Linked DNA regions of Danio rerio. The protein of the gene in region 1 purifies or fractionates together with the protein of each later gene. This does not show direct contact. Links are inferred from orthologs where the notes say so. Each region holds a gene or a part of one and is shown on either strand. Other genes may lie near its edges. The genes, in order: btk and ankrd54.

Region 1 (3,832 bases):
TATGAAATAAACAAAATCAAACAATTTTGGCCATCAAACACTGAAGGTCTAAAGACCATGTGCTCCAAGCAGGCCCTTCTCCAGTAGGCCACACCCAGGCCTTTTAAGCTTCCTCTGGCCTGCAGGGGGTGCAAATTTCCAACATAAAAGAAATCAAGATTAACAACACAAACCCTTAAATAAAATAAACAAATGGCTCCTACACTGTTTGAGGCAGAATTGTTCAGTTCAGTTATTTAGCTACTACAAATAATATGATGTACTGTGTTCAGAAACAAATTTTAGTTTAAAATTTTTAACAGCAAAAGCATTTTGGTGACATGGTGGCGCAGTAGGTAGTGCTGTCGCCTCACAGCAAGAAGGTCGCTGGTTCAAGCCTCGGCTGGTTCAGTTGGCATTTCTGTGTGGAGTTTGCATGTTCTCTCCGTGTTCGCGTGGGTTTTCTTCAGGTACTCCAGTTTACACCACAAAACCAGTCCAACAGTTTAAAAACATGTGGTACAGGTGAATTGGGTAGGCTAAATTGTTTGTAGTGTATGAGTGTGTATGGTTGTTTCCCAGAGATGGGTTGCAGTTGGAAGGCCATCCACTGTGTAAAAACATATCCTGGATATGTTAGCGTCTGTGATGACCCCAGATTAATAAAGGGACTAAGCCCAAAAGAAAATGAATGAATGAACAGCAAAAATAAAAATCACGTGTAAAATACTATAGTAATTTATTGTAAAGGGAAATATTTAGGAATAACCCAGGTAGCAAAAAATTCTGGCCCAGATTTGCCATTTATCTGGCAAAGCAGGGATTCATCCGGCACTGGTATACAGCATGTGGGCCAAACATGGCCCTGGTTTGTCTGAGGTGGCAGCTTCTTTAAGGCTGCACACAATATTTGGGCCCGATGTAAAATGTAGTATTTGGCCCAGATGTTAATAATTGATGTAAGTTTGGCCTATCTTGACCCACATTTAAAAAATCTTTTTTATTATTTTCAAATTTTAAAAAACTAATTCTACCAATAAGGTCGCTTTGAGAAAAAGCATGCCTAAAGCGTAATGATTTATTAATGCGATCAATGATTAATTTCATTCCAGTCGTAAACACCAACATATCTGGCCCAGTTCAGGCTCAGTTATTGGTTATTAACTTGGCCCAGATATGGTCCATGTTTGGCTCTTGTCTGCCAGACTTGGTCCAGTCATTTACCATAATTTACTGCGGCATGTGGCCCAAGCAAAAGCTGATTGTGTTGAGATGGGCCAGAGATATTTTATAGTGGGAAGCATTATATTGTATATATATATATATTTACAACTCCTCATTAATGAATAACACAACATAATGTAGTATCATTAGTAACTTTCATGAGCTAAAAGTAATTACCATAGTATACTTTAGCATTTACTACAAGAAACCTAATTTGAGTACTTCACTATTGTGTGGTTCAAAAACATTATAGTATTTGCTATAACTTACTAAAGTAATTTTTGAGCACAGCATCACAATTAACGTTATTGCATCTTAACATGCACTTGCCTCAGAAATAACTTCTCTCCCTTAGTCAACTTTCCATCAAGAAAGTTTCTTTTATTAGCCTAATTGGTTGGTGATATCACCGACCAGAGCAAGAGGTGGCAGTAAGTGGATAAAAACCCATTTAAATTGTTATAAATGTGTTGAAATTATTTCATCATTGGCAATAAGATCCATTTAGACATGTATTCCCTAATTAAATGTTCAATATCAATTTCCATTTAATGCAATAAGGCAGCATTGCATGAGTATAATGTAATAGTGAATAGTTTAATGAATTAAACAGCATTAGTACATGTATTATCATTCCACCAGGGGTTTTCAAAAGAGGATCTAAGAACCGCGATTCCAGGAAGCCTCTTCCACCAACACCTGAGGAGGTCAGTTACTAATCCATCTAGCCAGAGACAATACACACCATCATATTTACCTTTGGGAACTGATCTGTGTTACTTTCCTGATTTAGGAAAAGCCAGCCCGGCCTTTGCCCCCCGAGCCGCCCATGCCTCCTGCCTTCAGCATAGGCATGACCGTTATAGCTGAATACGAATACGCACCAATGACTACCAATGACTTAGAGCTGAGAAAGGATGAGGAGTACACACTTTTGGAAATCTCTGATCCCAATTGGTTTAAAGCTAAAGATAAATACGGGTAAGAGACTGCATAATTTTAAAAAATATCACTAGTTTGGCAAAATCTATGAGTTGTAGACATCAATAATTGTGTAATAATGCTAATGAAAGGCTGTATTTGATAAAAATGTGGACTCTTGTCGAATTATTTGCATATCTGGGGAAACTTTTACAGGCTATTGATGTAAGGTAGTCTGGTGGAACTTGCTGTGCAATCAGGACTGGGTTTTTGTTGATATGAAAAGTGTTATTGATCTCCTTTACAGAAAGGAAGGCTACATACCGAGTAACTACATCGTTCAGGCTTTAAATGGATTGGAGAAATATGAGTAAGTACACAGTCGAAGTCAGTCAGATTTTTTCAACACATTTCTACTCATAACAATTTTAATAACTCATTTCTAATAACTGAACTTTTGTCTTTGCCATGATGATAGAACGTAATATTTTACTAGATATATTTCGAGGTAGTATTCAGCTTAAAGTACAGTTTAAAGGCTTGGTTAGTTAGATTAAATAGACAAGTTAGGATAATTGAGCAAGTCATTCTATAACAGTGGTTTGTTCTCTAGTACAGGGGTTCCCAAACTTTTCAGCCCGTGACTCCAAAAATAGCGATGCCAGTGACTCATGACCCCCTATATTCTCTGAGGTGGTTATAAGTATATAAACCTTGCACACAACGGTGCACACAATAGGCCCAAGTCTATTTTTCGTTTAGTTTTGGAGAACACCATTTGGAGATCATCCTCCATGTTCAGCTGTGGTCTGTATTTGTTTTTATTGTTCATGAGTGCCGTAAAGGAGTCAGAAAGTTTAACATGGTACCATAAAATTAATCCGCTGCATCAGATGCTACTGCTGTGTCTTTAATGTAACGTTATAACCCCTGGAGTCGCATAGAAAAATTGAAATACTCAAAATTGATGGCTTTTTATTTTCATGTTGTTTTTTAAAATGTAACGATTACCGACATTTTTTTCTTTTGTAGGTTATGGTAAAAACATGGTAACCCAACCACCCCCACCCCCCATTGTGGCAACCACTGCTGTAGACAATCAAAAAATAACAATAATGCTTAAAAGAGCTAATAATATTGACCTCAAATTGTTTTTTTCCAAATTAAAATTTGCTTTTTTTTTCCAGCCGAAATAAAACAAATAAGACTTTCTCCAGAAGAAAAAATATTATAGGAATTACTGTGAAAATTTCCTTGCTCGGTTGAACATCGTTTGGGAAATATTCATTCATTCATTTTCTTTTCGACTTAGTCCCTTTATTAATCTGGGGTCACCACAGCAGAATGAACCGCCAAATTATCCAGCATATGTTTTAAGCATAGACTGTTTTAAGCAGCGGATGCCCTTCTAGCTTCAACCCATTGCTGGGAAACATCCATACACACTCATTCACACTCATACACTACGGCCAATTTAGCCTAAAGAAAACAAAAATTGATAGGAGGGCTAATAATTATGACTTCAACTGTCCATTCAGCAACATTTTGAACCTTTCAAACTTTTTTAATCATGAATTTTCTCTCAATCTCACAGTTGGTACTGCAAGAACATCAACCGCAGTCAGGCAGAAAATTTACTAAAAACAGAAGTAAGTATGGAGCCGTGGTGGCACAATAACATGATTGGTTTATTAATGTGTCTGTAACT
Region 2 (3,932 bases), on another chromosome or scaffold:
TTGTAGAGTTTACACACTTACAAGCTTAAAATTAAAAACATTTTTTAATTACTACACATTTTCTTAAAAAAAAAAAAAAAAAAAGTATATACTTTTCAACCTTAAAAGTTTGCATCCCAAAGCACTAAGCAACCAACCACTCAAATCACTATATGGAGAAAAATCCTGCATGCTTTCCTCAAAAACCTTCTTTTTTTTTGACCAATGAAAAGAAAGAAATATCTTGAAAGACAATGGCGAGTTGATTATCAAGAAATATTCATCCTAAATGTGAACAACCCCTTGAAAAAATATATGAAAAATCTTAGATCCACTGCTTGTCATTGGTCATAAAGGTCAATTTTTGGAAATTGAAATTTATACAACATCTGAAAGCTGAATAAATAAACTTTCTAGTTGGAGGACAATTTACTGTGATAGGAGGATATTGGGCAGAAATACAACTATTAATAAAAAAAATTGATCTGAGGGTAAAAAAAACTGAGAAAATAATATTTTAAAGTTGCCCAAAAGAAGTGCTTAGTAATGCATAACACTTATCAAAATTAAGTTTGATACATTTTACAGACTGAAGTTTACACAGTTTTTTTGTACAAGATGAATTTACCTTAATATTTTAATGACTTTGATACTATATTATTATTATATATAGACAATTTTGTCCCATAAAATGCATTTTTAGTCATTGTCACAAATATAACCTTAAGACTGGTTTCGAACTTACCTCCTCGCAGTAAGGTTGTGATCACAGGCACGTGGTTGGTGCAGGCAGCTGTAAAATCATAATGCAATAATGACACACAAAGATGCAAATAAATATGTCTAAAAATATTTGCTGAATATACAATTCTTACCCAGATGCAATGGTGTGTTCCCAAGGCTGTCTCTCTGGTTTGGGTCAGCACCATAACTCAACAGCAACTGGACTGATTAATTACAAGTGGAGATTGAGAGAGTAAAAATGGAAAAGCATGTATACTTTATAATTTATCAAATCAATCTTTCATCATTTAAAACCCTAACAATCTTTTTGGTTTTAGTCAATAAAACACTACGGTTTGATACTATGCAATGCACTGATATGTATGCAATAAAAATGTAAAGTATGTAATGCAAACAGTTTAGTTCGCACTTACCGATAGTCTCATTGCCATTGCAGGAAGAGAAGTGTAAGGCTGTCCTGCCTTTGTCATCAGCAGCACAAGGATCAGTATCATCTTCCAGCAATCGTCTCACTAGAAGGGGTTACATTTTTCAAAAGTGAACACATTATTATTTAACTGTAGATCAAATCTTACCATATAGTATAACTTTCAGAGTCATGCTGCTGGTTATTCTCACCTGTATCTATATCATTTGAATTGGCAGCTTCTCTGAGCCTCTTCACAGCTAAAACAGGACATGTGGTTGGTTAAAAAATATGGGTCATGGATGATAATAATAGCAACATAGTGACTAGTTTGACATACTGATGCGAAATCATACAACTGAGGATTTAACTGCTACATTTTCTCAATCTTATGCTACTCCTTTCACTAAACATGGTTGGTTGAATGCTAGATTTTAATTAACTATGAAAACTATTCTTTAATTAGTGTATTATTGTTCATCACTAAAGGACGAATTTACAGTTTTGCATTTCAGCACTTAATGTTTAAGGTTATATATGATGTTTATATAGTATAAACATATAGTACAAAGAAATAAAGTTTATTTTAGTTCGTACAAGATAAAGACTAACATTTCATTTTGGTTTATTTACTTGAGCAGTGTATAAAAGCCTAATATTAGTGTAGGAAAAGCATTGCAAATCCACATTTTTGTTCTTATTTCTTTTTTGACTTGACAATTTCTAAAATATGTATGCATTTGTATAATTTTGGATCTGGGTTTGTATGGAGAACTTATACAAAACCTGAAATTATCTATAGCTATATTAGAGCCAAACAAAACATTTGTAACAAAGCCTGTTGCCTATATGGCTGATAAATTAACGCCTATTCACCACTGCAGACTGAAAAAAATAATTCAAATTTTCACCTGAAAGTAAGTTAAAGTTTAAGAAAATAAATGTATTTAATTTGATATATAATAATATTCAGGTTGTTTTTATGTCTTTTAGTTAGAAATAAATTTGTGGGTTTCTAAAATTTTCATTTATAAGCATCCATGAATTATAATTACATGCAGTCTTTGATGTACATGATTACAGAATTATTTGTAGTGTGTATCTTCTGCTCGTGTACACACACCATGCAGGTCTTTTCCAATGGGCCCCATGTTCCTCCGGGCTCTTGCCAGCCGCCTCACCCTGCTCGATGTGATTTTTCCTGGTGTGCTCCGTCCCGCCTGTAGCAGCTCACCGGGCTTCCATAAAAGGTGCAGGTACCGGAGCTCGGTGTCCGCGGCCGGTCGCGTCCGGTTGAGCCTCAGCGCGCTCAGGGTGTCCAGCCGGGAGATACTGAAGCCCACCGTGCCTGCACCGGCAGCTTCCATCGGCGACTCGCCCTCCCGCTTCTCGGTGTCTCCCGCAGAGGGTCCGCCGGCCAGCGTGTATTCGCCCTCCGAGCTGGAGCGGTCACCGTCTGAACCAGCAGCGGCTAAAAGCGGACTCGAGCCGTCCATATCAATAAAAGGCGTTCACTGCACTGATGTCAGCATGTAAATGTCAGTTCCAGCAGAATGTAAATACTGAATCTGTTACACAAACCTAAGCCCGCATGGTCACACTGGCGCTACTCTTCAGCACTGGGTTTATAGCGAAGATTTTAAATAAATGAACAAGACTCTTTTTCCGTGCATCGCGATTTAATGTTGGGATGTTTAATTTGAACCGTTCCGTGTTGAAGTGAACTGTGAACATTGAGCCAAAATGGCGCTGTTTCACTGTTTTGCGCGGATGTTCAGTAAGACACGTCCGCATTGCTTAGTCTGAAATTATTGCTACCTAAAGGGCCAATCAACATGGATGTTGTTGAAGCGCTCGTCCAATCAGAGCACATGTGGTGGAAGCGTAATAAATACGTACATAAGATACATAAAACGTGATGTGACGGAAAGATGTTGGGGTATGTTCAGTATGAACAACCTAAAAGTAAGCAGTTGTATGTAGTGAACTTAGTTTTGCTGCTTGCTAAATTTCACATTTATAAGTCAACATTTTCAAACTCCAGACCTATGTCTATGTTATTTTCTGTACAAATTTAAACAACACTTTTTATTGATCCAATGGTCTCATAACCAAAAGACTCTAAATCTGTCTGCGGTTCTTTTAATTAGTTTAATTTTTTTGCTTTTTCAACATTTGAATATACTCTTTCTTTTTCTCTGTTTTTAGTTGTATTTTTCTTCATTGTTAAAGAAAAAATTTTAAAATAGTTTTTTTTTTATTTGCTATAAACAACAGTATTGTTTTTTCTATGATAGTTTTTCAATAATATTATGAAAAACCGCATCTTACATTAAAAACTCGATCCAATATCCCAGTCTTTTCAATAGCAAGAAAAGGGCAATACTGTAAAAAAATACAATGTTTCTGAATCAGAGCAATGTTTACTATTATCTGCATTAGTAAATGGGTTTTATTCACGGTATATGCAGGAATCCTAAAGGTCATTTTAAAACCTTTTTAAGACTTTTTAAAGACCTTCTCAGAATATTTTAAGACCTCATCGCTACTTCAAGCTCTCTTCAGTATAAAACTTTTAACTTAATAAACAGTTTTAGTTAAATAAATCAATGGAGCACAACCAAGCAATAGAACTCAGATAAGCTCGGAAGAAACAGAGCTTAAAAGAAACTCGTCTTTCTCCATCCAGTGGTACGCAAACTTTCATTTGACCATTTAGCCGCCTGTTTCGCTACATGTGGAGAGCGTCACATCACCTTCCCGCATTTGTCGCAAATTACATGACATCACCCCATGACATCGG

Evidence for each region.
Region 2: the proteins of btk (region 1) and ankrd54 purify together in Homo sapiens (affinity purification with mass spectrometry; 4 studies listed by BioGRID and IntAct, counting the BioPlex papers as one, with this or other methods). This does not show direct contact. The link is inferred for Danio rerio from reciprocal best matches to the Homo sapiens genes BTK and ANKRD54.

Annotation. Positions count from the first base shown.
Region 1 is NC_133189.1:43,503,171-43,507,002, reverse strand, and holds part of btk (tyrosine-protein kinase BTK), read left to right. Parts: intron 1-1,845; coding exon 1,846-1,910; intron 1,911-1,996; coding exon 1,997-2,184; intron 2,185-2,431; coding exon 2,432-2,494; intron 2,495-3,718; coding exon 3,719-3,773; intron 3,774-3,832. UniProt on the Homo sapiens protein: Non-receptor tyrosine kinase indispensable for B lymphocyte development, differentiation and signaling. Binding of antigen to the B-cell antigen receptor (BCR) triggers signaling that ultimately leads to B-cell activation.
Region 2 is NC_133178.1:24,771,012-24,774,943, reverse strand, and holds the start of ankrd54 (ankyrin repeat domain-containing protein 54), read right to left. Parts: upstream 2,783-3,932; 5' UTR 2,626-2,782; coding exon 2,253-2,625; intron 1,390-2,252; coding exon 1,342-1,389; intron 1,236-1,341; coding exon 1,137-1,235; intron 927-1,136; coding exon 855-926; intron 773-854; coding exon 725-772; intron 1-724. UniProt on the Homo sapiens protein: Plays an important role in regulating intracellular signaling events associated with erythroid terminal differentiation.